4 linked regions of the Canis lupus familiaris genome follow. The protein of the gene in region 4 interacts with the protein of the main gene of each other region in a pairwise test. Links are inferred from orthologs where the notes say so. Each region holds a gene or a part of one and is shown on either strand. Other genes may lie near its edges.

The links.
Region 1: the proteins of TTC23 (region 4) and MAGED1 interact in binary tests that used the Homo sapiens proteins (3 or more experiments, as listed by UniProt). The two-hybrid records come from large-scale screens. The link is inferred for Canis lupus familiaris from reciprocal best matches to the Homo sapiens genes TTC23 and MAGED1.
Region 2: the proteins of TTC23 (region 4) and tripartite motif-containing protein 10-like interact in binary tests that used the Homo sapiens proteins (3 or more experiments, as listed by UniProt). The two-hybrid records come from large-scale screens. The link is inferred for Canis lupus familiaris from reciprocal best matches to the Homo sapiens genes TTC23 and TRIM10.
Region 3: the proteins of TTC23 (region 4) and CREBZF interact in binary tests that used the Homo sapiens proteins (3 or more experiments, as listed by UniProt). The two-hybrid records come from large-scale screens. The link is inferred for Canis lupus familiaris from reciprocal best matches to the Homo sapiens genes TTC23 and CREBZF.

The regions. Positions count from the first base shown.
Region 1 is NC_049260.1:44,748,314-44,755,610, reverse strand, and holds the start of MAGED1 (melanoma-associated antigen D1), read right to left. Parts: upstream 4,707-7,297; 5' UTR 4,662-4,706; intron 1-4,661. UniProt on the Homo sapiens protein: Involved in the apoptotic response after nerve growth factor (NGF) binding in neuronal cells. Inhibits cell cycle progression, and facilitates NGFR-mediated apoptosis. May act as a regulator of the function of DLX family members.
Region 2 is NC_049256.1:27,846,505-27,853,695, reverse strand, and holds the start of tripartite motif-containing protein 10-like, read left to right. Parts: upstream 1-3,214; 5' UTR 3,215-3,387; exon of another isoform or gene 3,388-3,475; intron 3,476-3,567; 5' UTR 3,568-3,627; coding exon 3,628-4,047; intron 4,048-5,036; coding exon 5,037-5,132; intron 5,133-5,638; coding exon 5,639-5,869; intron 5,870-5,927; exon of another isoform or gene 5,928-6,180; intron 6,181-6,311; coding exon 6,312-6,430; intron 6,431-6,523; exon of another isoform or gene 6,524-6,755; intron 6,756-6,759; coding exon 6,760-6,875; intron 6,876-7,191. UniProt on the Homo sapiens protein: E3 ligase that plays an essential role in the differentiation and survival of terminal erythroid cells. May directly bind to PTEN and promote its ubiquitination, resulting in its proteasomal degradation and activation of hypertrophic signaling.
Region 3 is NC_049242.1:13,869,536-13,876,964, reverse strand, and holds the start of CREBZF (CREB/ATF bZIP transcription factor), read right to left. Parts: upstream 4,796-7,429; 5' UTR 4,534-4,795; coding exon 4,411-4,533; intron 4,378-4,410; coding exon 3,391-4,377; 3' UTR 1-3,390.
Region 4 is NC_049224.1:41,886,808-41,894,234, reverse strand, and holds the start of TTC23 (tetratricopeptide repeat protein 23), read right to left. Parts: upstream 4,082-7,427; 5' UTR 3,949-4,081; coding exon 3,897-3,948; intron 2,805-3,896; exon of another isoform or gene 2,790-2,804; intron 1-2,789. UniProt on the Homo sapiens protein: Participates positively in the ciliary Hedgehog (Hh) signaling.

The sequences.
Region 1 (7,297 bases), on a different chromosome or scaffold from region 4:
GCAGAGGGCAAGGGAAAAAGAATCCTGAGCCCAATGCAGGGCTTGATATCATGACCCTGAGATTATGACCTGAGCCAAAATCAAAAGTCGGATGCTTAACCAACTGAGCCACCCAGGTGCCCCTAAAAAGACATCTTTGAGACAATCATGGAAATTTGAATATAGCCTGGGTATTAGATAATATAAGGAATTACTGTTAATCCTATTAAGTATAATGGCCCTGTGGTTACTTAGTATAATGCATTTAAGAGTTAGAGATGTATAGTGAGTTATTTACCTGTGTAATGACATAATGTTTGGGATTGCTTTAAAATACCCCAGGGAAAAAAGTGGGTGAGGAGAAAAGATCAAAGGAATTTGTACAAATGGTATTAATTGTTGAAGCTGTGGAATGGATACATGTTTGTCTATTTTACTAACTTTAAATGTATTTGAAAATTTTAGTAATAAATGAAAAAAGGAGCCAACGTCAAGGGTTCCAACTAGCTTCTTCCAAACTGGATAGTTTGATCAACAGAAGAAATGATGACTGCAATGGATTGAAAAGTACTAAATATATAAATATGCACAAGTTGAACAAATAGAGAAAAGGACAACAAAAACATCTCAAAAAATATAAATATACCTTATGGGTGATGGTTTTAAATACCAGCTTTAAGACTTATATTTTGCATTTTATAAATAACAGGTCCCTCAGCAGGATTTCTTCCTCTCCCTACCTCTTTATTATTTGATTTTTACCTTTATTCTTTTGTATATGATATACAGTGATAAGAGCATGGGATATTATAGAACTATGCATTTGAATGTGAAGAGCTTTTGAGGCTTTTTAAAAAATATTTTATTTATTTATTCATGAGAGACACACAGAGAGAGGCAGAGACATAGGCAGAGGGAGAAGCAGGTTCCTCGCAGGGAGCCCGATGCGGGACATGCCCTGAGCCGAAAATAGACACTCAACCACTAAGCCACCCAGGCGTCCCAGCTTTTGAAGCTTTGTAATTGAACAAGTTTCTTAACCAATTTGATTCCTTTCCTTTCCTATTAAATGGAAGAATTTGTACATCATAATTCTTTTTTTTGTTTTAATTAAATAAAATGTTATACATTGCCTGATGATAAATAGAACCTTAGTAAGCACCACTTGTCTTTTTTAAAACAGAAATATCAGCTATGAAAGGCACATTGGGAAAAAGAAAGAAATTTGAAAACGGATTAAGTGGGGCACCTGGGTGGTTCAGTCGGTTCAGCGTCTGCCTTCGGCTCAGGTCATGATCCCAGGTCCTAGGATGGAACCCCACATTGGGCTCCCTGCTCAGCAAGGAGTCTGCTTCTCCCTCTCCCTCTATCCCCACTCATGCTCTGTCTCTCTGTCATAAATAAAATCTTTAAAAAAACTTTTAATTAAAAAAAGAAAATGTATAGGTATTAGATGATATTAGGAAATTATTCTTAATTTTTATTGGTGACATAATGGTAATTAAATTATCTATAAAATGTCCCTAATATTAGGAGATAAACACTGAGATATTTAAGGGTAAAGTGCCATGATGTATGTTTCTCAAATGGATGTATTAAGTGGTATTTCAATCAAAATGTCAAGAAGAATTTTTGTGGAAATTGATGAGCTGAGTCTAAAATGCATATGAGGGACGCCTGGGTGGCTCAGCAGTTGAGCGTCTGATTTGGCTCAGGGCATGATCCAGGAGACCCAGGATCAAGTCCCACATCCGGCTTCCTGCACGGGGCCTGCTTCTCCCTCTGCCTCTGTCTCTGCCTCTCCCTCTCTCTGTCTCTCATGAGTAAATAAATAAAATATTTTTTAAAAATGCATATGAAAATTCAAAAGACCAAGAATCACTAGGCATTATTGAAAAAAAAAGAACAAAACTGTAAGACTAAATGACTATATACATATGATATATATTATAAAAGGACATCCATTATAACAGTGGTACTTATATAAGGATAGAAAAATTAACCAAACAGAACAAAATTCAGAAGAAATAAACCCACATAAATAACTTAGTCATTTGATTTATGAAAAACATGACTCTATAGGAGGGAAATAGCTATCTTTTCAATAGTGATATTAGGTTGATTAAATATCTGCTTTTTTAAAGAGTGGGAGCATGAGGTGAAGTGGGGGCACAGAGGGAGAGGCAGAAGTAGACTCTCCGCTGAATAAAGAGTCGAATACAGGGCTTGATCCCAGGACCCTGGGATCATGAAATGAGCCAAAGGCAGACATTTAACCGACTGAGCCACTCAGGCACCCTTGAATGTCCATTTCAAAAAATGTACAAAAGGGGGGCCTTTACGCATACCAATAACTCATACTGAAAACATACAAAGAAATCAATTACAAATAAATTGTGAATACAAATGAAAGATCAAACAATACCACCACATAGGTTAAGCAGGCTCCCTGTAGGAAGCCTGATGCGGGACTCAATCCCAAAACCCAAGGATCACGACCTGAGCCAAAGGCAGATGCTCAACTACCTAGTCACCCAGGCATCCCAGGGCCAACTATATTTAAAAGATTGCCTGTACAGACAGACAAGTACTCAATTCCTCCAATTTAACATACCAAACATTTATGGGCAACATATCATGAGCACACAGTGATAAGAGCAGTGAGAGAGGTAAGCAAATATGCTGTAGGATAGCACACAATGCACTGCGGATAAAAGATTGAAGAAGACGTGAGGATGGATGTAAAGATACGTCTTCTAGACGTATTAGGTATGTAACTAACAACATACCTAAATGTATGTAAAGACATGTCTTCCTAGAGGGCTGGTAACTAACAACATACCTAATTGATAGCAAGAAGCTCGCCAAGATTAAAAAACAAAAGAATATGGGAAATGTATGTGCCTGGATTAGGTTATTTCAGTATGTAGAGTGCTACATTAAAGCCATGCAAAAAAGTGACAATGGGCAAGGGGGGTGTGGAAGCAGAGTGAACAAATACAGAGACACCAACATAAGATATATCCTGTTTTTCCCATTAATAGCTGTACATAGTTCGTGCCCTCACTTCCTTTAGGTTTCTGCTCAAATGTTGCCTTACCAGGGAAGCCTTCCTCACCATCCCTATTTAAAATACTACATCTCCTCTCCATTACAACTTACTCATATTTACTATATATTCATTTACTGTCTCTCAACTAAAGTTTAATAAGCTTTTTATTTTCCACTGTTGTATCCTCAGTGCTTAACACTGTCTGACACATAAAGTTATTCAATAAAAAAATTCTTAGATGAATAAATGATGGTTGCACACTGGGTTGAAGCCGTGGGATATTTAAATGCTGTGTTACTATAACTTGACTAGAGAATACAGAGACATCAGCAATACCCTTCAAAAAAGTTTTTAAGTGTTTTAGTATCATGAAGTCGAGCCTGACTTTTTTCTAAACGAACTGAAAATTACACCTAGCCCAGAAAAAGATTTACGTCTTATTTTGGCAAGTATAACACACTAGTTACAGGAGGAAAGGAATAAATTGCTTGTTCAAGGGAATTCTTGGTGAATAAATTCCTCTTTAGAGCCTGAATAATCCTGACACTCATTTTAAGTTTAATGATCATATCCCCTCTCTTGGGTAAAAAATTGAATAATAAATTGTGATTAACTAACGTTCTCACGAGACAAAGTAAACATGATGAATGGAACAGAAAAATATATTTCACCTTGCACGAAATAGAGAATACTTGCGAAGTTCCCAGGAAAACTTTGAAAATCTGTCAGCTTGCTGTTCAATGTTGCCACCAAAGACCAGAAAAAGATTTGAATAGGCATAACTCATATGAAAAAATAAATTTGTGATTGGATGTCATATCCGTCAACCATTTCTGTCCTATGACAAGTTCTAAAGGAGATGGGAAAGCTTCGACCATCAAGAATTGACACAAGTTTTACAGGCAAAACCCCTATGACTGCTCCTCTAAAAAGTGGGGATTGAGTTCTGTGCCAATTTTTTTTTTTTTTTATGTCAGGAGGGTTAAAATCAGTGCAGTTTCTGATGTATCATTTTGGTTAAGAGTAAAAATAAACTCAGCAATAATATAATAATCTGAACAAGCTCCTGTGTCTTAGGACTAAAATTTCTGCCACTGCTTATTTTAAGGAAATAAAAGAGTTGACCTTGAAACTGAAGTCACACCTGGTTTTGGCAAGTTTTTAATTCAAAGGACTCTGAAAGAGGCGGGCAGGAGGGGCGGGGGGGGTGGAAAGTAAAGTACTGGAGCTGAAGAAAAAGGAAGGGCGTAGATTCCTAACGGGAGAAGGGGGTTGCAAAAGTTTTGAGGCTAAAAGGGGCCGGGGAAGAAGGTGGAAGTTAAGAGGTAGGAAAAAAATCTGTGGTAGAGGAAATGGCCCAGGCTCAGAAATATCAGGAAGAGGATCTGGGGTAACGAGGAGAGGTGAAGAATGACCAGGGATAAAAGGACAAAAATAGAGAGGGAGGACAGCCTGCCATCTTCAGAATAGGTAGACAGGCGACCGGAACCATAAGCGTCAGAAACATCCTTCACACAATGTGCTCTGGGGATGAAATCTTTCCACCCCATGTTGAAGCAAGGAGGAAAGCTTCCCGGGAGGGTTTGGAGACTCACTTGTGAAAATTATGAGCCTCTTTCTTTCCACTCACCTCAGTGAAGAAAGCCCCGACACAACGATGGCGTAACCGGAAGCGCTATTTTCCTTCGTTTGGCGGAAACTTATTTTCCGACGCCACGCCCCCTTTACAGGCAACTTCCTGTGCCTCTCTAGCAAGCTTTTACAATACTTTATTGCTCTGGCTTTCAGCGTATCAGAAGCTGGTTAGTGATGTGAACCGGCTCAGAGACAGTAACTTTTTACTAATTAAAGCTCTAGGGTCGCCTGGGTAGTTCAGCGGTTTAGAGCCTGCCTTTGGCCCGGGGCGTGATCCTGGAGTCCCGGGATTGAGTCCCATATCGGGCTCCCTCTCCCTCTGCCTCTCTCTTTCTGTGTCTCTTATGGATAAATAAAATCTTTATTTTTTTAAAGATTTTATTTATTTATTCATGAGAGACACACAGAGAGAGGCAGGCAGAGACACAGGCAGAGGGAGAAGCAGGCTCCACGCAGGGAGCCCCATGTGGGACTCGATCCCGGGTCTCCAGGATCACACCCCGGGCTGAAGGCGGCGCTAAACCGCCGAGCCACCGGGGCTGCCCTAAAATCTTTAAAAAAAAGAAATTTTAACTCTAGTCATCCGAAGAACTGCATTATTTCAGCCAAACCCCACATATCCAAATTTGTCACCTCGCCTTATTGATTTAGCCCTTAAAATACCTTCCTAACCCTTAGTGCCTTGACTCTTGGATGCCAACAGTTATGTATTTGCCATACTGGTTTACCATTTTCTAACATACCATGTTGAGTAAAAAGTTCATTTTTATAAGTGGCATACTTCGATTTCGAGATTTTAAAAAATCTTAGATCTGAATCATTTTTGTCTCGGAATAGTATCCAAAGAGTTACATGCTATACTCAAATTAACAAATAAAGGTAAATTCATCTAGAAAGCATTCTTGTATATGTATATACCCCCCCCAAGAAAATGACAACTGACAAAATTTTCTTTTTTTAAGATTTTATTTATTTATTTATTTATTATGAGAGACACAGGCAGAGGGAGAAGCAAGCTCCATGCAGGAAGCTCGACGTGGGACTCGATCCGGGGTCCCCAGGGTCATGCCCTGGGCTGAAGGCAGGTGCTAAACCGCTGAGCCACCCAGGGATTCCCAAAATTTTCAATAATAAGAATAATCCTTACTCTGGTTAAAAGTTCAATATTGAATCACCTATTGCCACTACCTCCAGAAAACACTGGGTCCAAAATCTGTACCTGTTTTCCTTTTTTGTGGTTATTTTCAGTCAATCTACTACTATACAGTGAGCATCTACCATGTCCCAAATACTGCGCTACACTCATGGGCATTGCAGTAGGAACCCACAGCTTAGGAGCTAAACGTGACATTTTAAACACATAAGAGCCTGGCATAAAATAGGTGATTATTGATGTTTGTCAGATGAATAAATAACCAAAATGTGATCAGGGAAATGACAGGGGCCAGCACCAGGTTCTTACTTTTGATGGTATTTTTATAGTTCATTTCAACATTTTAACTCATATTTTGTCATTCAAACAGCAGATTCTGAACAACCACTCAGCGTAAGGTTCCGTTCCTGATATTGCCCATATAAAGAAGAATAAGACTCAGTCCTGGATTTCAAGACCCTCCAAACAGTGGGGGAAATGAATACATAAACAAGTAGCAACGCTATAATGCGACAAAATAATAGGTAAAGGAGACCTTGTAGGAACTATGACTATCCCATTGATTGGTGAATACTAAAAACCTAAAATACACCTTATCTACTAGAGAGTGCTCAATAAAGATTTGTTTAATGTTGAATAGATTATTGAATGGACGAATGAAAGGGAAGAATGGCAGTGGACTTGAAGTATACTGTGAAAGGAGTAGTAATGGGTCATGAATCTGAATGTTAGAAGAGGCCAGAGAAGGAAGGATCATGGAGTTTGAGCTTAATTATGAGGAAAACAGAAAGCCAAAGAAAAATTTTAAGCAAGAAAGTATTTAGTAATATTTAAAACCAGAATACAGAAAATGGGTTGTACTGGTGCAATCTGGAGGCAGAGAGGTTGATTCAGAGGATATTGGTGTAATCAAAGAATAAATACAGAAAATTAGGGGCTTATGCTATTAATAATTAATTGTATTTGGGAATTGAGGTGGAAAAGTTAGCCAGTGGATTATCAGAAATCCAGAGGCATCGAAATCTGATAATTTTTCCTCGACTTCCTCCACATTCAAAATTTTGACAAATCCATGCAACAAATATTTATCGAACAGTTAATATGCACCAGGCTCTGAGGATAGAGCCATGACCAAAATGGATAAAAATTTCTGCCCTCACAGGAACTACATTTTTGTGTCGGATAATAAAATATTTAAGAAAAAACATACCAGAAGGTGACAAGTATTATGAAGAAACAAAGCAAGTAAGTAGGATAGCAATGTACACAGGGGAAGAGGAGACGAATGCTATTATGGAAAAACTCACTGAAAGGATGATATATGAATAGTTACAGATTTCATCCATTTCTCTCAGTCATCAGGATCACTTAGTTCAAACCCTCCATGTTTCTCCCCAAATCCCAACTCCTTAGCATGGTATACAAAAACCTTGGTAGTCTAACTTTGTCTCTCTCTCTCTCCAGGCTCCTCTCTAACT
Region 2 (7,191 bases), on a different chromosome or scaffold from region 4:
AAGTAACAATGCCACCGTGCATCTGCAGAGCCTTCCTCATCTCCAAGGCCACCCTTCCCTCAAGCCAGGTCACTAATCAGGGAGCCATGAAGCAAAAGAAAGCTGTGGTCAGAGCTGTCACGGAGAGCTTGGCACTGCTCTCAGCCCCCAAGGTTGCCTTCTGCACGGCATACTTTGAAGGGAGCAGAGACCGCTGGAGGTCTTTTCCTGGTCCCACACTCTACTCCTGTGGTCAGTGCCCCAGGGATTCTCTTACTGCAATGTCTCTCCTGGGTAACCATGTGGCTCAGAAATAGAGATGGCAGTGAGCCAGAGAGCCACAGCACTCACCCACAGTGCTCAGGGCCGGCCTCAGATCAGGACTAGACCAGAGAACTTCCCATCTGAAGGCAGTGCTTCCCAGCAAACAGACTGGGATGGGAACAGCGGCCCAGGTCAAGAGACCCAGGTCCTAGGGGCGCCTGGGTGGCTTTGTCACTTAAGCATCTGACTCTTGATTTTGGCTCAGGTTGTGATCTCAAGGTCATGGGATTGAGCCCACGTTGGGCTCTGAGCTTAGCGGGGAGTCTGCTTGGGATTCTCTGTCTCTGCCCCTCCCTGTTCACTCTCTCTCTAAAATAAATAAATCTTAGAAAGAGAGAGAGAGAGAGAGACCCAGGCTCTAGCCATGTCATCATGACCTCGGCTCTGTGGCCTTGGCAGTGGTCACGTTCCCAGACCTGTTCTCTGCTCTGTAAGGTGGCTGATAAGATGGTTGTGGACGGTGTATCAGAACCACATCCAAAAAATAAAAAAATAAAATAAAAATAAAAATAAAAATAAAAATAAAAAAAGAACCACATCCAGCTGTGATGTGGGACTGGGACTCCACAACCTTGGCCCAGATGCCCTTGGGCAGAAGTAGGGAAGTGAAGAGAATATCTTTCCCAATGGGCAAAAGTGCCAGAAACAAGCTTCCCCGGAGTCTGATAAGAAAACCCCCAAAAGAGGGATGCTGGAGTGGCTCAGCGGTCGAGCATCTGCCTTTGGCTCAGATCATGACCCCATAACCCCAGGATCAAGTCCCACATTGGGCTCTCTGCATGGAGCCTGCTTTTCCCTCTGCCTCTGTCTCTGCCTCTCTCTCTGTGTGTGTCTCTCATGAATAAATAAATAAAATCTTAAAAAAAAAAAATTAAAAAGTTAAAAAAAAAAGAAAACCTCCAAAAGAGAAGGAGGCCAGGACTGGGGGGATGGTGTCCCCAAGCACAGAAAGGCCATGTCTAGCTCCCCATCATCCAGACCCTTGGCCCATTCCCTTCACTGTGGATGACAGCACACTGTCCACCCATGCAGGCCCAAGGGGAAGCCTTGCTCCTTACCTAGTAGGGCTGAATGGCTGCGTCCAGGACCCCCTTGGTGTGGCCCTGGTGGTCAGGACCCTCCCAAAAGAGCACACAGAGGAGCTATGTGTCGGTCTCACAGAAGAAGTAAATCTTCTCTCCATGTTCCTCATAGTATGTGTCTCCAAGCAGGCCCAGTGGCACTGGCACCATGGGTGTCTTTGGGCGCTCCTGGTTCTTGCAGCATGGACAAAGCAGGACCTCGCAGGATGGCTGGGCCCCCATCTGGGAAGGCAGGAGGAGGCACGGCCAGCAGAGGGCGTGTCCACAGAGGGCAATTACTGCATCCCTGAGGGGTCTCCTGGCGGGAAGGGCTGGAAAGCATCATGGTACCTCCCCAGCCTGTCCAGGGAGGCCTCTGCCTCTGGCCATGGAAGTCCTCTCTCCCTGAACTCATTCACTTTGGCGTGAGTCATGGAGGGAACATCATGGGTAGCTGAGAGAGAAGACAACAGGAAAGTCCCAGTGGGGATGCCACCCAGCTCTACCTCTTAACATTTCCCGAGCCCGAGCTGAGCCAGGACCACCACACTTCAGCTGAGTAGGTTCAAACTCCAGGATGGCTCCCATTACCTAGCACTTCCCAGCAGTGGCCTGGTCAGCCCATCCGCCACTCCTCCATGTCCTTCTGGTCCCTAGGGTGGACTTCATGGCCCCCAGTGTGCCATGAAGTCACAGGGAAATGGATCTTCCTGGAACACTTCCTGTGACCACTGTGGGGTGGAGAGCGTTCGGAGAGCAAGGAGCAGGTGGGAGCCAGGAGCTCTGATTATAAGGTGTGAGCTGTGCCTGCGGCGGCAAAGTCCAGACTGCCATGGGAGGCGCCCCAGGGCCCCTCCTCTGCCTCCCTATGGGGCTCACCCCACCTGCCTGGCCCAGCCTCCTGAACCCCAAACAGAAACAGGGTGATGCTGGGTCACGCTGCACTTTAATTTCAGTCTTTAACCTCAGGTGGGAGAAGGCAAGAAATTATAATACAAATGATTTCTGTTAATGAAATGTAGAAAACTCAGCTCAAAAGGTCAAGGGTAGAATAAGCATATTTAGGAGAACTTAGTATTTTCATATTATTACAGCCAATCTGGCAAGAACCCTTTAGAACAGTTAGGACGATGTTCATTTTCCAGATGAAGGCATGTGAAGGGCCAGAGAGTGAGGCTAGCTAGCTCTAGGGTGGAGAGGAGTCTCTGAGCTTCCCAGCCCTATGCTGTCCCCATGCCCTGTGCTCTCCCCACACTGACCCCATGCCCACGGAAGGCCCCACAGCCACAGTCCTATTCCTGTCCCTGCATCTGTGGACAAGCCAAACACCCAGTCCTGCACCCAGCGATCAGTGCTGCATGGTTTCACCACCTCTTCACCTCTGTGGTTCGGTGTACCCTCTTTGTACCCACCCCCCCCACCTGTCCTTCATGGACCAAACAAGGGCCCATGGCTGGTTCCTGCTGAGATCTCAAAGACATAGCACCATTAGGACAAATGCAAAATGTTTCATGATGCATTCCTAGACTGAGCACATGGTGATGTGATAATTTGGGGGGCTAAATAAACTACGATAATGAACTTCATTTAGTAAAATATAGCTACCAGCAAACTTCAGCTGAATCCAGGGCTCACGTTGTGTTTCTGTTTGACAACAGGGCTAGGATGTTCAGACCTGAGTGCAAGTGTGTGTCTGCCCCCACCCAGCATCCACATGGAGTGGCCGCCTGCCCATGCCTTTGAGCACAGGCACCTTATCTGGGAGTGCACGCTGCCCTACCTGCAGACCCGCCAGCCCTGGGCCTGCTGATACCTGCAATCTGCCCGCACAGCCGGCAGCTGCAGGGGGGCCAGGGTGGCGGCTCTGCTCCCCAACCCACTGTCCCTCCCATCCAGAGGAAGGTCCATGTCCTCAACGGTGCGCGGCTGAGATACTGCCCCGTCCTTCCCAATGCATGTCTGCGGACGGACGGATGGACAGGAAGACACACGCAGCCGCCCAGAGAGTAGCCACATCGTGTGGGTATGCTGTGGCCCCATCTCCCTCCCAGACAGCGTGCACATGTTCCTGAGGGAGGAGGACAGAAGAACCCTGGTGTGCAAGCGTGAGTGTGAGTGTGTGCACGACCACAGGCATGTGCATTTAAGACGTGCTCCTCGTGTCTGGGTGTGTGCACACATGTTTGTGTATCCTCTCCCCCAGCCCTGCCCCTCAGCCACGCACTGACGCTGGCCGTGAGGACCTCCCGGGCCAGGTGGTACCATGGCATCTGTGAGCAGCCTGGCCGACGAAGTCAGCTGCCCCATCTGCCAGGGCACGCTAAGGGAGCCAGTAACCGTTGACTGCGGCCACAACTACTGCCGGGCCTGCCTCACCCGCTACTGTGAGATCCCGGGCCCTGACCCCAACGAGCCCCTCCACTGCCCCCTATGCAAGGAGCCTTTCCGCCTGGGGGGCTTCCGACCCAACTGGCAGCTGGCCAGCGTGGTGGAGAATATTGAGCGCCTTACGCTGGTGTCCACGCTGGGCTCAGACCAGGAGGACGTCTGCCAGGAGCATGGGGAGAAGATCTACTTCTTCTGTGAGGACGATGAGGCGCAGTTGTGTGTGGTGTGCCGGGAGGCCCAGGAGCACCAGGCCCACACCGTGCGCTTCCTGGACGAGGCAGCAGGGCCCTACAGGGTAGGACACGGGCCACTGGGGGTCCCTGGGCGCAGGCACGCCCTCCTTCCTGCCTCTCCTCAGGCAGCCGACCCAGGGGTGGGGACCGCATGTATGCTCAGGGCTCTCCGTGTTGCTCACAGATGGCCAGCACATACAGAAGCTCAGCAGGGTGTGGAATGGTTGAGTGACCACAGTGGGTCAGGGGTCTGAGGATGTTGGAGTCATGTCTGGGGGTGGACTGCACAAACAGCAGGGAGTGTGCATGGACGTTCACCCAGTTGCGTGCATTTGGTGTCATGGGGTGGGGAGCATGTGTGTGCTCGTGTTTGTGGATACTTCAGCGTTCAAAATCACGGAGGGGAAACATAATGTGCAATTGTGTCTATCATCAGCCACGTGCTCCTCTTAGTCATGTACTCACTGCGCTGTGATACAAGTGGGGTCTGTCTGGACATGTTAGTTCACTAGCATTTGACGGTGAGGGCAGGTATCTCTGGATGCCCCTCTGTGGACCTCCATGCATCTGTCCCTGATCCTGACTCTTCTAGAGTGGACAGTTTTTAAAACAGTGTATTGACCACTTTAATATTATGTAAGCCTCTCCTCCCATCTGGAACCTGACAGATTCTTGTCACAAGAGAGGACTGTTTGCACGCATGCCTTCTGAGACATGTCAGAAAGTTGGGGTGCTTTCAGAGAAGGGCGTGTCAGGCTCCAAACATGGCCCAAACAGATCTAATTAGGGTCTTCAGCGTGAAGACAGCAGGGCGCGGGTGGGGAAACTGAGTAGCAGCTTGTGCCGGCCTGGGCGGAGGGGACGGCTCAGGGCTCAGGGGATCAGCGTTTCCAGAGAGCAAAGCTGGAAGGAAGAGAGCTGGGGAGAGCAGCCTGCCAGGACGTTAGGACTGGCACAGTCAGTGTGGGCAGGGGTCCCGTCCTCAGGGCTGTCCACCCCAGAGGCAGAGACCCCCATGCACAAGCCATTGTTTCCTACTCTGTCCCTCCAGGAGCAAATACAGAAGTGTCTTGAGTGTCTGAGAAGAGAGAGAGAGGAGATTCAAAGAATCCAGTCGAGAGAAAACCAGCGGATACAAGTCCTCCTAGTAGGTCGCTGTCCCTTCCCTGGACCATGTCCCCGCGGAGCATGTGGGGCTGAGAGGTCACTCTGAGGTCGTGCCTGGGCTCCCACAGTAACCAGCTTTGTGACCTCAAGCCAGTCTCTGGCCTCCGTATTGCAGCGAAGCAGACACTACAAGTCTCCCTCCTCCCCAAGTCACTGTAATGTGTAGTGTGTTTGTGCCCCTAAAGCAACCTCGTGCAAGACGAGAGGTGTGCTGTCCCCACTGTCTCCTGGTCAGCTCCCGGCCTGAGCCACAGGCTTCTGGAAGCTCCCACAGAGGGGCTGGGGCCACGCCGAGCAGTCAGCCCCCAGAAGCAGCTTGGTGGGTGGAGGGGATGCCATTCTGTCCGGGCACCTGGGGCTGCTGGAGGCTCGGATTTTCCACTGAAACGTGGAGGACGTGAACCTGGGCCCGGCAAGGGCGGGGGGGTGGCAGAAGGAAGGGGGGAGGAGGAGGCATAACTCCCTCCTGGCCTCCACCCTGCCCAGTGCCAGGTGGCCACCAAAAGACAAAAAGTGATTTTCGAGTTTGCACATCTGAGTCAGTTCCTGGAGGAGCAGCAGAGCGTCCTTTTAGCTGAGCTGGAGAAGCTGGATGGCGACATCCTGAAGCAACGGGATGTCTTTGACGCCCTGGTCAGTGAGGAGATCTGCCGGTTTAGCACCCTGGTGGCCGAGCTGGAGGAGAAGCTGGAGAGGCCCGCCAGGGAGCTGCTGACGGTGAGCCCCGCCCGCCCTGCCCGCCCTTCCAGCACCGTCACGGTCCCAGCTGCCCCCTCCACGCATGTGTCCCTGCCTCCTGGACGGTCCCCCCGCCACGCTGTCCCTGGGCTCTGGCTGTCCATCCCACCTTCCATAAAACAGGGAGGACACCGTCCTTATCAACCTCTCAGGGTTTGGGGAGGGTCCAAAGGAAAAATACAGTACAAAGTAGCACTTTGAAAACATTGCCAGCTATTTCCAAGGCATGCTATTCTGCATCACGGGCCACCAGTGGCAGGCACTTCTCCCGGTGCATGTCATCTCCTTCCCTGGAGGGACGATATGAGGGTCCCAGCAAGGCCTGGGAATGGCGGCGTGACATGGGGTCGGGGGGCGCCCACTCGTGGTTCACTGGATGGAGGTGTGGGGGGACCCGCATGGGATGCGCCTTGGCCTCCAGCAGGTGTGCAAGTCACTTCACTGCATGGACCATGAAATAAAGGGCTTGGCCTCCATGATCCCGGACGCCTTGCCAACCCTACAATTCTGGGACTCCAGGACCCCATATGGGAACCCCAGGTTTGTGTTCTCTGAACTCCTGCTCCCCCCATTTCTCCTAGGGCGTCAGAAGCACTCTGATAAGGTGAGCCACATGCCTATCCTCACGCATACCTTGGCACATGTCGCTGCCCACACGCCGATGGCATTGTCACACCCAGGCTCATGGTCCACCTGAACCCCTCATGCCCTCCAACCATATCTGCCAGCAGTGGACCAGGTGTGGGTGGTGGGCCCATCCCAGAGGAAGTATGTCCGCCTGTGGGAGCGGGGACCTCTGTGCCCAGCTGAGTCTGGGGACATCGCGAAGGGGGGGGGGCTTCCCAAACCCTGCTCTTCCTGTACCCTAGGAGTGAAACCAGAAAGTGCCGAAAGCCAGAGGCTGTGTCTCAGGAGCTGGGCCAGAGAATTCGGGACTTCCCCCAGCGGGTCCTGCCACTGCGCAGGGAGGTGACGACGTTTCTGGGTAAGAGGTCCAGTGCCCCGGGCACAGCAGCCCAAGCTGCAGGGACTTTGGGCTAGTTCCCTTCCCACTCCCTCCTTCCCTTTACATCTTTATAAAATCCGCATGTCAGGATCATGCGATAAGTGAAGAGAGAATAAAGACGAAGATTTCAGAAAATATTTAACTGATATGAAAAATAATCACACAAATAAATCTGATCCCTTGACATTGAACAACATCAAAAATAATGATTAACAAAACTTGCCATTCTCAACGATTTACAAAATCTACAAAATCTATCTATTATACACCTATAATACATGACATTTCTGATGAT
Region 3 (7,429 bases), on a different chromosome or scaffold from region 4:
AATTTGGGAACTTGAAAATGGCATTCATTTTTTTCAGCAGATGCCAAATTTTTGACCGACATGGCTCCCACAATTACTTTGTTACCATCAGTCCAGTCAGTTAACAGGTTGTAGGAAAAGATTCTTTTTGCAGACACTGCTAAGCTGTTTAAAGAGAAGAGAGAGAGATTAATTTAGTGATTACAAAATGCACAAATATTTAAAATATTTCGAACACTTTTTGTTGGATTATATCAGAGGTGTGACTACATTTTAACAAACGTGGACTTTTTAGTTAGGACTGGTCAAGAAAGTGCAGAAACAGTAAGTCAATATGATAGAAATAGAAGGTCAATATGATGTGTTAGTTCAATTAATGTATGAATTCCTGTCACCATCAGAAGACAAATATCAAAACACTACCTCTTTACACTAATTCTGTATCATTTTGCCAAAGAGGCAATTAGGGAAGAAGGGGGGAAGAAAAAAAAAAAAAGGGTTCCCCAAATACTAAGTTGTTTTCAACCTCTAAAGTAGAGCCAAACCTTAAAATTTCAAAACAATCCACATTATATGCCAAAAAATCTCCTTTATCCAACTATCAATCATTCAGAACACAATTTTCTAAAAATAGTAAGACAACAATTTCATATTAATCATAACTTTTTAATTAACAAGTAGTGAATAGGACACTTTAAGATATTGTTTACTACATACTGAAATCAACAGATCTGTTGTAAATTCAGAAACCCAAACATTTACAGTAAAATGTGCTTACACATAAATATGATCAAATTTATTTAAAGCCCCTGTTAGATAGGTCCTAAATACATGCAATACCATGTAAAAACAAGACCATGAAGTTGATGTAAAAAAATGACAAAAATCACTAAGTCACCAAAATTAGAAAGAAAAAAAAAAAAAAGAATGAAATGGAAACTAAGGAAAGACAGTTAAAACATAAGAAGCCTAACAAAGCAGCTTTAAAAATAGGTGATACTAATCTCCATTTTCAAAAGTTCTTAATCAAGTATTTCCAAAAACTGCCATTTATAAAATGACATCCTAAAAATCTACACTTGGAATTTTCAAAGCATCCCACTTCAGAAAGCTTTGATTACTGTTTCTCCCCAGCCCCGAACTTCAAATGATGCAGGAAAAGCACTGACATTAGAAGAAAATATTCCAAGGGAATGGTATTTTAGAAAAACACACTTACTGCTTCCAGAACCTTTTAAGACCCACAGTCAGCATTAACAACAATCATTTTTCCTATTTTCATCCATTATTTTCCAATGTCATGTTAGAGATGAATAAATTCTTTGAGCCCATAACTGAAAGATCAACAAACCTGGTTTTATTATGACACCGTATTTTTGTCATTGGTACTGCACAAAATTATATACAAAGAAATATATACAAAATGTTCAAGTATTAATTAAATTTCAATTCAAGGCTTCTGTTTCAAAAAGCTACATTTAACATATTCCATAGATAGCACAAATTAGTCATTTCAAATAATTTTTCCAACTACTTTTGGTTTTTATATATATATGTATATATATATAATTCAGTAGGCACTAAAAATCCATGCAGCTGCATTGTGAGGGGCTTGCTCCTGCACTTAGGAATAAGCAGGTTCATCACTCCAGGCTGTGAATTTGGTACTACCCATTCATGCTCAAGTGCAGATGATTTTACAAAATATGCTGTAATGCACTGGAAACCAGAGACCAAAGTTAGGTCTCAAATCATGTTATCTAGCAACAAAACATTTACAGTTCTGCAAGAACAAGGATTCCATTTTTATAACCAAATAACAACAAAATAAAACATGTGTAAGATAACTTACATCTTTGGACTGCTGGAAAATACTTTTTAATTATGAACATTTTAAAATAAAAAGACAGCAGAAGCCCTGAAATTACCTCTTTTTCCTCATTTCTTATACTACCTTTTAAAATAAAGCAGGAAATGTGGCCAGCAGCTGGTCCCGTCTCTTCTGCCCCAACAGCTGTATCCACTTTAGCACAAAGAAAAACAAGGATGCTAAATATGTATATACTTTATCAAACAGTGATGTTTCACAAAGAATTTCTTAATGCCTCTTACACTGAAGGACACCGTAACTCAATCTATACAACTGGACAATGGATAATACAGTACTTCAAGGGAAGAGTATGTCCCATCTTTGGAAAGTGTCGATCGTGTCCTTAAGTAGCCAGAACCAGCCAATTTAAAAAAATTATTTTTAAAAAGGACAAAAACCTTAAAATAAGGAGAGTAGTAAGATTCTTTGTGAAGCCTCACTTTACATGTTTTCATTCACATTTCACAAACCTTCAATTTATCTAATCATACATAAATTTAACCTAAAATTTTAATACAACAAAAGTAAAGGTGTTCAACAATTTATTTATAGTCAGTGATAGGGTAATCACTGTGCTGGTCCTCAAAGAAACATTTCATTAACCACTCTTATTCCTCCTTCAATTAATTAACACAGAGATGCATGTTAATTTCCAACTTTTTAAATGGTGAGATTAAAATCTTCTCATCCGAATAGATTGTATTTCTAGATCTCCTACTGAAAACTAAAAGGCATACCCAAATAGTTAAGATATTTCTGTCATCTTCAGCAAAGTTAACTATCACATTTGTGCAAGCCCCAAATACTTATTGTCAACCTCTAAAAAGTTGCTCTAAAATTGGAATTCCAATTTGCACCTTGTACAACTCGGAACTTCCATTCAACTTCACCTGTTTGACTGTCTCCAAACTGTATCTCTATTAGCAGCTTTCAGTGTACAGTTGGAACCGATGTCATCCAAGGCCATGTCCACACTGGGGACAGAAGAGCTAGGTACACGCAAGTCTGAACAAGGGGACACATTAACAGCTATTTCAACCAGAAGAAGCATCTTAAATACATTACTGACCAGCACAAGTCTGTTTCCAGGGTGGACAGGGCCCAAATTAGACTTCCCCTCCCACCTTCCAAAAAAAAAAAAAAAAAAGAAAAAGAAAAGAAAAAACCCACACACACACACACACACAAATTGAGATGTTGCCCATTAAAGTAGACTAAGCAGCAGAGCATGAGCGTTACGTGAAGAGATGGATCCTTACCAGGTTGTGAGGCGGGAACGACTGTTCTGTAACCCCTACAACGGAGCCTGGCAGGAAGGAAATCACCTAAAAAAGAAACTGTCAGAGAGATTTAATAGTCACATGTTATCATTAGGAGTTGGTTACAGTGTCACATTCATGCTTTTAGCTAAACACTTAACGATTCAATATTACTTTTTCCTCCTCTGAAATGTGTCCAGTGAAGATGTCCCACTAAGGTGTTTTACATGGTGTAAGGGAGTTGAAAGGGGTAAACGCGGATAAAGAGCAGATTACTTGACCCTACATTTTAAGAGAAGACGACGCCTTCCGGGCGCACGCCGAGCAGAACTCCACCGACACCTTATCCTTGTCCACATGAAGACACACTCCTCCCGCCGAGTCGTCCTCTTCCAGCAGGTCCTGCTGCTGCTGCTGCTGCTGCTGCTGCTGCTGCTGCTGCTGCTGCTGCTGCTGCTTTCCCACGGGCAGAGCGTAGTCATGGTCACCGGCGGGCGAGTCTCTGAAGAGCGAGGTGGTCAGCCGCAGTCCCACGCCGCTCAGCCGGCTCAGCAGGCGAGCCAGTCCGGTCTCGTTGGCCAGGACGGCCCGTAGGTAGCGACTCTCCTCCTGCAGTGCCTGCACGCGCTTGCCCAGCTCCCGATTCTCGGCCCGCAGCTCCTGGTTCTCGGCTGCCAGACCGCGGACTCGACTCTCCAGCCCCATCACGTACTCCTTCTTCTTCAGCCGATTTAGACGGGCAGCAGCCGCCGCCGCCTTCCGGGGACTCTTTGTCGCCGCCTGGTTGCTGTCGTTGCCGCCACTGCCGCCGCCGCCGCCTCCTGGGGACTTTCTCCGCCTCTTTTCGCCGCTGCCACTGTCACTGCCGCTGCTGCAGCCTCCGATGCCGTTTAACAGCCTCTGCAGCAGGTCGGAAAAGCGCTGCATCTCGGCGGCCGCGGCCTCGTCGTCGTCGTCCCCTCTCCACAGGCCGCCGCTGTCGGAGCCTCCGCCGGACGAGGAGAGGGGCCCGGGCGAGCTGAGCCCGGGCTCCAGGTGCCAGTCCGGTTGCCGGGGGTCCAGCAGATCCGCCAGTTCCAGCCCGGACAGAAAGTCCATGTCCTCCGTCTCCTCCCCGGGGACGCTGGCGATCGCCTCCTCCTCCATCTCCTCGGGCGAGGGCGCGCGCACGGCCACGCCGCCGCGGCCCCCCCTCCCGGCCTCAGAGTCGCCCTCGTCGCCCCGCGGCTGCCTGCGGCCGGGAGATCCGGCCGCCGCCGCCTCTTCCTCCTCCGCCGCCGCCGCCGCCGCCGCCGCCGCCGCCGCCGCCGCCGCCCGGGTCAGGTCCGGGGGCAGCAAGCAAGTCGCGGCCGGAGCCGGGCTCTCGCTGCGGGTTGGGGAGTCGCTGCCCGAGGCCGCCAGCAGTTTGGTCAGGCTATGCCTCATGGGGCCCAGCGGCGGGCGGGCCCACGTAGGCCCCGGCCCCTCAGACCGGGCCTCGCGGGCCCCCAGGACCCCAGACCCCAGCGCGCGGGGCCCGGGAGCTGGCCAGAGCGAAACGGAGGGGAAGGGCCGAGTCGCCGCCCGCCCCACTCGGCTGGTCGACCCCCCGCGCCGGGGCGGGGGGAGGGATGGGAGAGCGAAGCGCCGCGGCCCCGCAATGACTCGACCGCGCCACCCAGACAACGGCCTGGCCGGAAGTCAGTCGATCTCACCCAGCCCCTCCCACGGCGTTTCGCGCGCCCCTGGGCTCTAGTATCGCGAGAGTTCAGTGAGGTCTCAGCGGGAGTAGTTGCAGAATTTCAGTGATGTCATAGTCCGCAAGCGGCAAGAATAACAAATCCCGAGGTTATTGATAAGTGGTCTACTCTCTCCGCCCTCGCTTCTCAAGCCTCCGTGTTCAAACTTCCACTTCCAGTGAAACCACTCTCGCACAGACTCGGTCTTCGCCACTCCAGATTTATGAATAACCTTAAAGCTCTCCTGCGTTTCCCTGGAATTTCATGACGGCTGATCAGACACCGCTTGAAGTTGCTCCTTTCCCTTCCGTTTGTTACACAAGAGCCTTTCACTCAAACACAGAGTAGTAGGGGGGGAAAAGAGGGAAATGAGTCATTCGTACGTGATTTGATTTTTTCAAGTTTTTATTATAATAATTTAATTAAAATGTCTAAGCCATTTCTATGCATTTTCTAAACAAACAAAAAGGTTTTGTCCTTGTCTTTAAAGAGGTTGCAAACCCACTTCCTGTGTGTGTTCTGTAGTGGGCGTGAATGTGAGCATGTGTGGGTTCACACGTGTGTCAGTGTTTTTGTACTATCACTACCTCACGGTTTTAGTGATGGTTGTACTGCTGGTTGTGTTAACACAGGACGTTTTGTTGAGTGAATCGTGTGTGTGATTTTTTTCCTGTTTGTTTTATCCGGGGGTTCATGAAACTGACAGATTTTTTTTTTTTTTTTCCTGAAAAGGACTACTACCAGTTTCCAAATAGAGTATTTTCTGGTTTTTCCTGAATGAGCCTGATTTTGTTGCTGTTTTTCATCTATCTGGTTAAAAACAGTACTCTGAAAATCCCTGTGGTGGGGTTGAACAGCCCTCTTGCATTCTTTTCTCTGTTGTGTTGGCAATTTTATGAATGTGCTTAGTTTTTAAATGTTTTTAAATGTTTTTGTTTACATTTTATATTTTACTTATTCTGGTCAGTGTTTCAGGATCATATTTTCTTTGACATCGACTTTACTTGAAATCAAAACAAATTCTAGTTTTAAAAGTAGATATTGACATGGGCTACATTACAGAGGCAAACTCTTCTCATTAGAACACTAAGGTTTCAACTAAATTTCTTCCAAGTTCTTTAGGAATTTCAGAAGTTTTTCCCTCTTAAGTCTACATATACACTCTTGTGACAATGTTGTGGTCTCTTTCCATACTAAAATTTAACAAGAGAGATACATCTCCATCTGGTAGAGTATATAATTCTTTGAAAAAGTTTTAACATAAGGTTTTATTGATTCATTTTAAAAATATTTAAAGCATATTTTCTTTTTTTTTTTTTTAAGATTTTATTTATTTATTCATGACAGACACACAGAGGGAGAGAGAGAGAGGCAGAGACACAGGCAGAGGGAGAAGCAGGCTCCATGCAGGGAGCCCCATGTGAGACTTGATCCTGGGTCTCCAGGATCAGGCCCTGGGATGGAGGCGGCGCTAAACCGCTGAGCCACCCAGGCTGTCCTGAAGCATATTTTCTAAATTTAACTACAATAGTATCTACAACAATTTCTAATGGCTTGCATAAGAAAATTACCATTTGAGAAGAATGTGTTAGGGAGTATAAATGCAGAATATGAAATCAAAGATAATGATTCCCAAAATCAGATGTATGAAAATACTACTCAGAGAGTAATGAATAAGTAAATTACCCAGAGATAGTTCTGCAGATCTCTGTAACGTTGAACATCAAAATTCTAGCAAACACCTATAGTGGTTCTAGTGATAGTTGGACCATAATAGAGTCTCTAAATTTAATCCCCATAGAAAATTAAAGTATCAATCTCTTTCTTTTTTTTTAAGATTTTATTTATTTATTCATGAGACACACACACACACACACACACACACACACACACACACACACACACACACACACACACATAGAGAGAGAGAGGCAGAGACACAGGCAGAGGGAGAAGCAGGCTCCATGCAGGGAGTCTGACGTGGAACTCGATCCCACGTCTTCAGAATCACACCCTGGGCTGAAGGTGGCGCTTAAACCGCTGAGTCACCCGGGCTGCCCCCGTCTCGCTCTTTTTTTTTTTTCCTTTCCCCAATCTCTTTCTTTAGAAGCTTTACTGCATAGGAAATTGCTTCACTGAAATATTCAAATGTTTTTGATAACCACAGTTTTATGTCTTTTATCTGTGCACAATAGAAAAATATATATCAATTTTAAAATTTTCCAAATATTTCACAGAATAGTTTCCACTCTAATACTACCCAATACGCAGACCAAACAATTCAACAATTAACATTTGCCATATAAAAATGTTTGTAAAAATTATATATACTTTTTTTTTTTGCTGAATCATCCTAAGGTTGCAGACAGGATACATCACTCCAACATACTTAAGTATGTATCTCTAAGAATAAGAACATTCTCTTTCATAATCATAACACTGTTATTAGGTCTTGAGAAAATTAACATTTACTAATATTATCTATTATCCATGCCATATTCAAATTTCCTCAGCTTCCTTCAAAATAATCTTTTATAGTAGATACTTTCTTTTGAGCCAGGATCCAATCAAGGGTTACTTATTGCATTCAGTTATGTTTTTGT
Region 4 (7,427 bases):
TTTCTGGAGCACTCATTAACTCTTAGGCAACTGGTACTTTCTGAGCACTGTTTGGAAAGCCAGGAGGTAGAGGAAGACTGGAAGGCTGGAGCCAGGCTTAGAAGACATTGATTTTAGGTTAAGAGTTTAATTGACTTTATTTGGCAGGTGGTGATGAGCTCCTCAAGGTTTTATCAAGAAAGATAAGTGACAATGCTGAGACAGATCTGTTAATTAGTAGGCAAATATAATGGAAACTATAGGCAGTAAAGTGGTCACTGATTTTCAAACTTTTCTTTTACCATCTTGACAACTGTTAGCATATCTATATTCTGCCTACAATATTAACTTTTTCTTTAAGGCTACAACTTTTTAAAAACCTAAATATTTACTTCAGCTTCACCCTAAAAAAATAACCAGATATATTATGGGTTTGACATCATATTTTCTCCAATACATGTTAAAATAAAAACACAAGTATTAATAATATTTTAAAAGTTGGTCTGGGGCAGCCCCGGTGGCCCAGCGGTTTGGCGCCGCCTGCAGCCTGGGGTGTGATCCTGGAGACCCTGGATCGAGTCCCTTGTCGGGCTCTCTGTATGATGCCTGCTTCTCCCTCTGCCTGTGTCTCTGCCTCTCTCTCTCTGTCTCTATGAATAAATAAATAAAATCTTAAAAAAAAAAATTTCCCTTTAAAAAATAAAAAATAAAAAAAAAATAAAAGTTGGTCTGTGTTCCACCTAACATCACATTAAGCATCACCAATTTTAAACATTGCATACCTTGGGAAATTCTAAATTTGAGCAACGTTTGACAACCATTTTTAACCATGGCCCTTCATGTAAGATTTCATTGGTTTTACTTTCTATAATTTATATTCTGACAAAGCAGGTATTTTCCCTAAAGTTAAAATTAGAATATTTTATATGCTTCTTAAATCATCCCCCTAGCCAATAAAAAAAACAAAAACAAAAACAAAAAAAACCAATAAAAAAAAATCATCCCCCTAGAAATTTTGGTACCCTCTTTACTAAGTGGGTATGGTCCTGCAGCCAGCCCTTACCACCAGTCGCACGAATCACTGAATATTGTATAGAATGAATTCATGTGCACAGCAGCAGTGAGAAGGGAAGTGATGGGAAGGATAAGAATTACTGAAAGAAGTAATTACTCAACTTGAGAGCTGCTTAGATGTAAAAATTGAAGAAGGGAAACAGTCAAAACTGACTTTGACATTTTCATCCAGGAACTCTAGATAGGTGCTGGCACACTATGGCATGGGCCAAGTGCTGCCCACTGTCTGTTTTCATAAATAAAGCTTTATTGGAACACAGCCCTTTTAATCCATCTACATCTTATCTATGGCCACTTTTGTACTACAACAGCAGAAGTGAGTATTTGTGATAGAAACCGTATCGCTCTCAAAGCCTAAAGTATTTATTATCTGGCCCTTTACAGAAAAAGTTTACTGACCCCTAAAACACAGTAATGTCATGGACAGAAGTAACAAGATAAATGAGAATTATCCTTTTGATAAGATAATCAATTTGGTCTCAGCCAGATTGAATTTGAGGCTATGGGAGAAAATTTCTATAAGAATGTCCAACTCAAAAAAAAAAATTAAAAAAAAAAATGAATGTCCAATTCAAAAAAAAAAAAAAAAAAGAAGAAGAATGTCCAACTCAGAAGTTAGAAATATATTGGGCCACCTGGCTGGCTCAGTCAGTAAAGCATGTGACACTTGATTCAGGGTCATGAATTCAAGCCCCATGTTGGGTATAGAGCTTACTTTAAAAAATTTTTAGAAGAAAAAAGAAGCTAAAAATATATCACTAGTCCTGAGAGACATCTTTTTAAAGATAATATTTTTCCTTTCCTTTTAAAAAAAATTAGTAACCTTCTATGCCTTTATACAAATAGAATTTGAGATGTCTAGAGGTTAAGTGTTGAGCAGTTAACCTGGACCTACCTACCAAGGTAAAGGTGGCCACCCCTTAATAATCCAAAATAGAGCTTTACATTTTCACCAAGAAGGAAGAAAGTCAGAACTTTTCTTTCTTTCATGAGACAATATAGAATGAAAACATGAGAAAGGGAAGAAATTGGTTGAAGGCCAGTCTGAGAAAACTTCAGAGGCCAATCAATCCCAGCAAAACCATTCTTGGGTAGCCCTTCAAAACGTGGAAGGCTCATCTTTTGATTCAACATTTAAGCTTTCCCTAAACCCTGCTGTACAGAGACTCCGTGCTATCTCTGATGCCAAAATGGTGGCTGACTTTTTTTCTAACAAGCTCTTGACTTAAGCTTTCTCATCTATTCAGCCCACTAGTTGATGATTTGATCATTTCAGTAAGTGTTATGGTCTACAAAAAGAGCAGGAGATTGGGTTTGGGAATCTGAGATTCAAAAATCTGTGCTGGTCCAACTACTCACATGATTTGGGCAATATCAACTGGTATTTACATAACCCTTTATGCTTTCCCATATTTTATCTTTTGTGGCCCTTGCCATAGCCATGTGGGAGACAGGTATGATTATCTCTGTTTTATAACTGAGGACAATGAAGCTGACAGAAGCTAAATTACTTGCCCCATGTCACACAGGCAGAATCAGGACTCCAGTCGTCTAAGAATTTGGTGGTTTCCTACCACATCATTCTGACTTTCATTGACCAGTCTTTAGGAGTGGGAAGCAAATATTCTTGCTTTGGAAACCTAAGATGGCATTTTAAAAAGTAATCATACACTTTTATAACAAGGAAATGTAACATCTTCAACAAATCTAACCACACTTTCTTATCTTCTACTTAGGGGAGGCAGAGAAGAAATTTTAGAAGCTATGTGAGTAATATGCTCTGTAATATTTGCTACTCTGGGCCTTGAACCTAGTGCTAAACTTTGAAATTGAGCGGATTTTTCTTTCTTTTTTCGGCTTAACTGTAACAAGTGGTTTGTCTCACATTGCCTCTTAAAATATTAAATCCTTAAAAGAGCCATTTTAATCCAAGCACTCACAGGCTGGATCTAACTTGCACATGCTTTTTTTTTTTTTCTTTTTGGCCAGAAAGGGGAAAAAAAAAATTAAGCCATTACTTTAAAATTAGAAGGTTTAGGATCTGGCTTTTGAGATTTTTGGCTTCCTATAAAAACAACACTATCGGGCAGCCCGGGTGGCTCAGCGGTTTAGCGCCACCTTCAACCCAGGGCCTGATCCTGGAGACCCAGGATCGAGTCCCATGTCGGGCTCCCTGCGTGGAGCCTGCTTCTCTCTCTGCTTGTGTCTCTGCCTCTCTCTCTCTCTCTCTCTGTGACTATCATAAATAAATAAAAATTGAAAAAAAATATTAAAAAAAAATACTGAGCCTATGTCATCACAGGCAACAATCCATCAGGGGGGAATGGCAGAAGCCGTGGCGATTGCCAGTTGCCACCACTCCCTATTGCTCCTGGACAGGGAGGCACCAAAGTAGTTGCCATTTGTCATTGCTCCTGTGTTGCTTTATCCTTATAGTAAAAGAATAGGTCTCTGTAACCATACCTCTCTTTCAGAGTGAAAGGCTGACATAAAGGGATATGGCTTTCCTAGCCCATGCCACTTGCCACTCGTTTCCTAAATGTAATCTGATCTGAGCCATCACTGATATAAGATTATCAGATACATCACTATCCTATAACCACTAAGAATAAAACCACAAAGCTATTAAACTATGACTTGCCATCAACGGTAACATGCATTCCAATTTCAGAGATGTTTAAACACCAAAATGTGCATCTCTGCCAATTAAATGAGGCACGGTACCTGCCTGGCTTTTGGAAACATGTGAATCTATGACCTTGCTTTAAATATGTGTCTGTGTCAATGTGTGTTGCATCTTATAGTAACATCTTTAGCACAGACATCCTCTTCAGTTCACTTACTTGGAGCTACATGCTTATCATCAGTCACTTTTGTTTTCTTTGTAATAGCCATAGGTGGGGCTTAAATTTTCATTAGAAATCAGCCCAGGGCCACACAGTACCCTCTCCCTGCCAGCCTTGGGTAAAGCTTCCCAGGCCTCTCAATCGGCTCCCACAACTGCCAGTCAGACATATCCAATCAATTGATGCTATTCCTTCTGCCAGACCTGTTCAGTAGAATGCTGAAGCACATGATCAGCCTCAGAACAAAATGGGAGGAGGAAGAGGTCTGAAGTGGGGTCTCAGTCTTCCATTTCAAGAGGTGATGTTCAACAATTTAAAACTGGTTTAGCAGGAGGACCAACCAATCTGTATAGATGGCAACTATGCTGGAACTAGGTTCAGAAGGTCCCCTGCTGTTACAGGTGTTAACCCTTGGGGGCTGACTTGGGGGAGGATGTAGGAAGCTTGAGGGCGGGGCAGGAGCCCCCAGGGCAGTGGCTCCTGGGAAACAACAACCATTATGACCGTATGAGAGTGTACTGGTTAAAAAGCAACCTTGCCCATAGGTAAGCTGTGGCATCAGCAAGCTATGAAGTGGAAAAACATTCTGGAAGGATACAAAACATCAAAACCGAATTGAAAGGAAATAAAAAATCTGAATAGAACTATAACAAGCAAATAATTTAGTAATTTAAAATATTTACATAAAGGTAAGCCCAGGCCAAGATGGCTTCAGTGGTAAATCCTACTAAACCTTTAAAGAAGTAATATGAATCTTTGCAAACTCTATCAGAAAAATAGTTTGCAACTCTATTCTGTGAGGCCAATATTATCCTGCTACCAAAGCCAGACAAAGACGTAATAAGAAAACAAACCAATATCCATGATGCTTTTGAACACAAAAAGTCCTCAACAAAATATTAGAAAAATCAAATCAGGCAAGATATAAAGAAGATTATATATTATGACCAAGGGGGATTTATCCCTGGAATAAATAAATAAAGCTGGTTGGTTTAACATCTGAAATCACTAATGTAATACACCATATTCATAGAATAGGGGGCAAAAACTGAATGATCATATTAATAAATGCAGAAAAAAAATGGCAGGATACTTCCTTCATCTGATAAAGGGCCAATAAAAACTTTTTAAAAACTTAATGCTAACATCACACTTAATGGTGAATGTTTGACTGCTTCTCTTTTTAGACTGGAAACAAGGCAAGGATGTTTGCTGTCATCATTTGTATTTAAGACTTAATGGGTATTCTAACCAGTGCACTAAAGCAAGAAAAAAGTAAAAGGCATGCAGATTAGAAAGGAAGAAAAAAAAATTTAGTTTACATGATCTTCACACACACACACAATTCAGTTGACATGATCTTCACACACACACACACACCCCAAAACAAAATGAAAACAACAACAAAATCCTACTAAAACTGTTAAACAATTTCAGCAAGGCCAGAGGACACAAAATAAACCAAAACTGAATATCTATCAATCTGAAAATGAAATTAAGAAAACATTTCCATGCACAATAGGACCAAGAAGAATAAAATACTCAGGACTACACTTAAAAGAAGTACAAAACTTTTACACTGAAAATTATATAACATTTACACTGAAAATTATATAACATTGCTGAAAGAAATCAAGGGACACTTAAGTAAATGAGATACATTCCATACTCATGGATTAGAAGCCTTAATATTATTAAGATAGCAATACCCCCAAATTGATCTATAGATTTTATATAACACCTATCAAAATCCCAGCTGTCTTTTTTTTTTTTTTTTTGCAGAATTTGACCTTAGATTTATATAGAAATGTAAAAGACCTAGGATAGCTAAAACAATCTTGAAAAAGAACAAAGTTAGAGGACCATTCTTCCCATTTTATTTTTTTTTAATTTTATTTATTTCTCTATCCATGAAAGACACAGAGAGACAGACAGAGGGAGAAGCAGGCTCTATGCAAGGAGCCCGATGTGGGACTCGATCCCGGGTCTCCAGCATCGCGCCCTGAGCCAAAGGAAGAGGCTCAACCGCTGAGCCACCCAGGTATCCTCATTCTTCCCATTTTAAAAACTTACAACAAAGCGACAGTAATCAACACAGGGTGATATTGTCCTAAGGACTGACACTATATGTTAATGGAATAGAATTGAAAGTCCAGAAATAAACCTCTACATTTACAGTCAATTATTTTTTGACAAGAGTACCAGGTAATTAAATGGGAAAAGAATAGTCCTTTCAACAAATGATGCTGGAACAACTGGATAGGCACATACAAAATAACAAATTTGGACCCCTACCTCACACCATATACAAAAATGAACTCCAACTGGATCAAAGTTCTAAAAGTAAGGGCTAAAACTGTAGAGCTGTTAGGAAACAAAGGGATATGTATGAGCTTGGGTTACACAAAGATTTCTATGTACAATACCAAAGGCACAATTGATAAAAAGAAAAAAATAAATTGGACTTTATCAAAATTAAAAACTTTTGTTTCAAAGACACTGTCATGAAAGTTAAAAGACAATTCACAAAATAGGAGAATATATTTGCAAGTAATTGTAGATATATCACATGTTTGATAATGGACGTTAATCCAAAATATATAACAAACACAATTCAAAAATAAGACAAAAACCTAAGTAAAAAAATAGGCAAAAAATTTGAAAAGACAATTTACCGAAGAAGATATATGAATGACCAATAAGCTCATGAAATGTTTAAAATCACTAGTCCTTAGGAAAATGAAAACCAAAACTATAATGAGAACCACTTCACACTTCACTTCACACCCACCAGAACAACTATAACTTTGTATAGTTGTTGACAAGACAACTTTGTCTTGTCAAAGATACAGACACTAAGAAGTACTGGCAAGGATGTAGCAAAATTAGACCCTTCATATGCCACAGGTGGAAAGTAAGATAGTACATTCAGGTTAGAATGAGGAATTCCTCTCAAAGGTAAACATAGAATTACTACATAAATCAGGAGCTCCATGCCTAGTGTATATCCCCAAGAGACTGAAAACACTTGTTCACACAAAAACTTGTATACATCTTCATAGCAGCATTATTTACAATAGCTAAAAAAGCAATCCAAATGTCCATCAACTGGTGAATGGATCAACAAAATGTGGTACTGTACCTATGACAGAATATTATTTGGCAATAAAAATGAAGTACTGATACATGCTACAACATGGATAAACTTCAAAAACATGCTCTATGAAAGCCAGATATGAAGACCACATACTTAATGATGCTATTTATGTTAAATGTCCAGAAAAGGCAAACCTATAGGAACAAAGTTTATTAGTGATTGCTTGCACCAGGGTAGGAGTGGGAAATGCCTACAAATGGGCACAAAGTTTCTTTGGAGGATAGAAATCTTCTAAAATTTGAATGTGATAATACTTGCACAACTCTGTAAATTTTCTTTAAAAAAAAACACTGAGTTGTATCCTTAAAATGAGTGAATTTTACGGTATATAATTAACATCTCACTAAAGCTATTAAAAATAGCTATGAAAC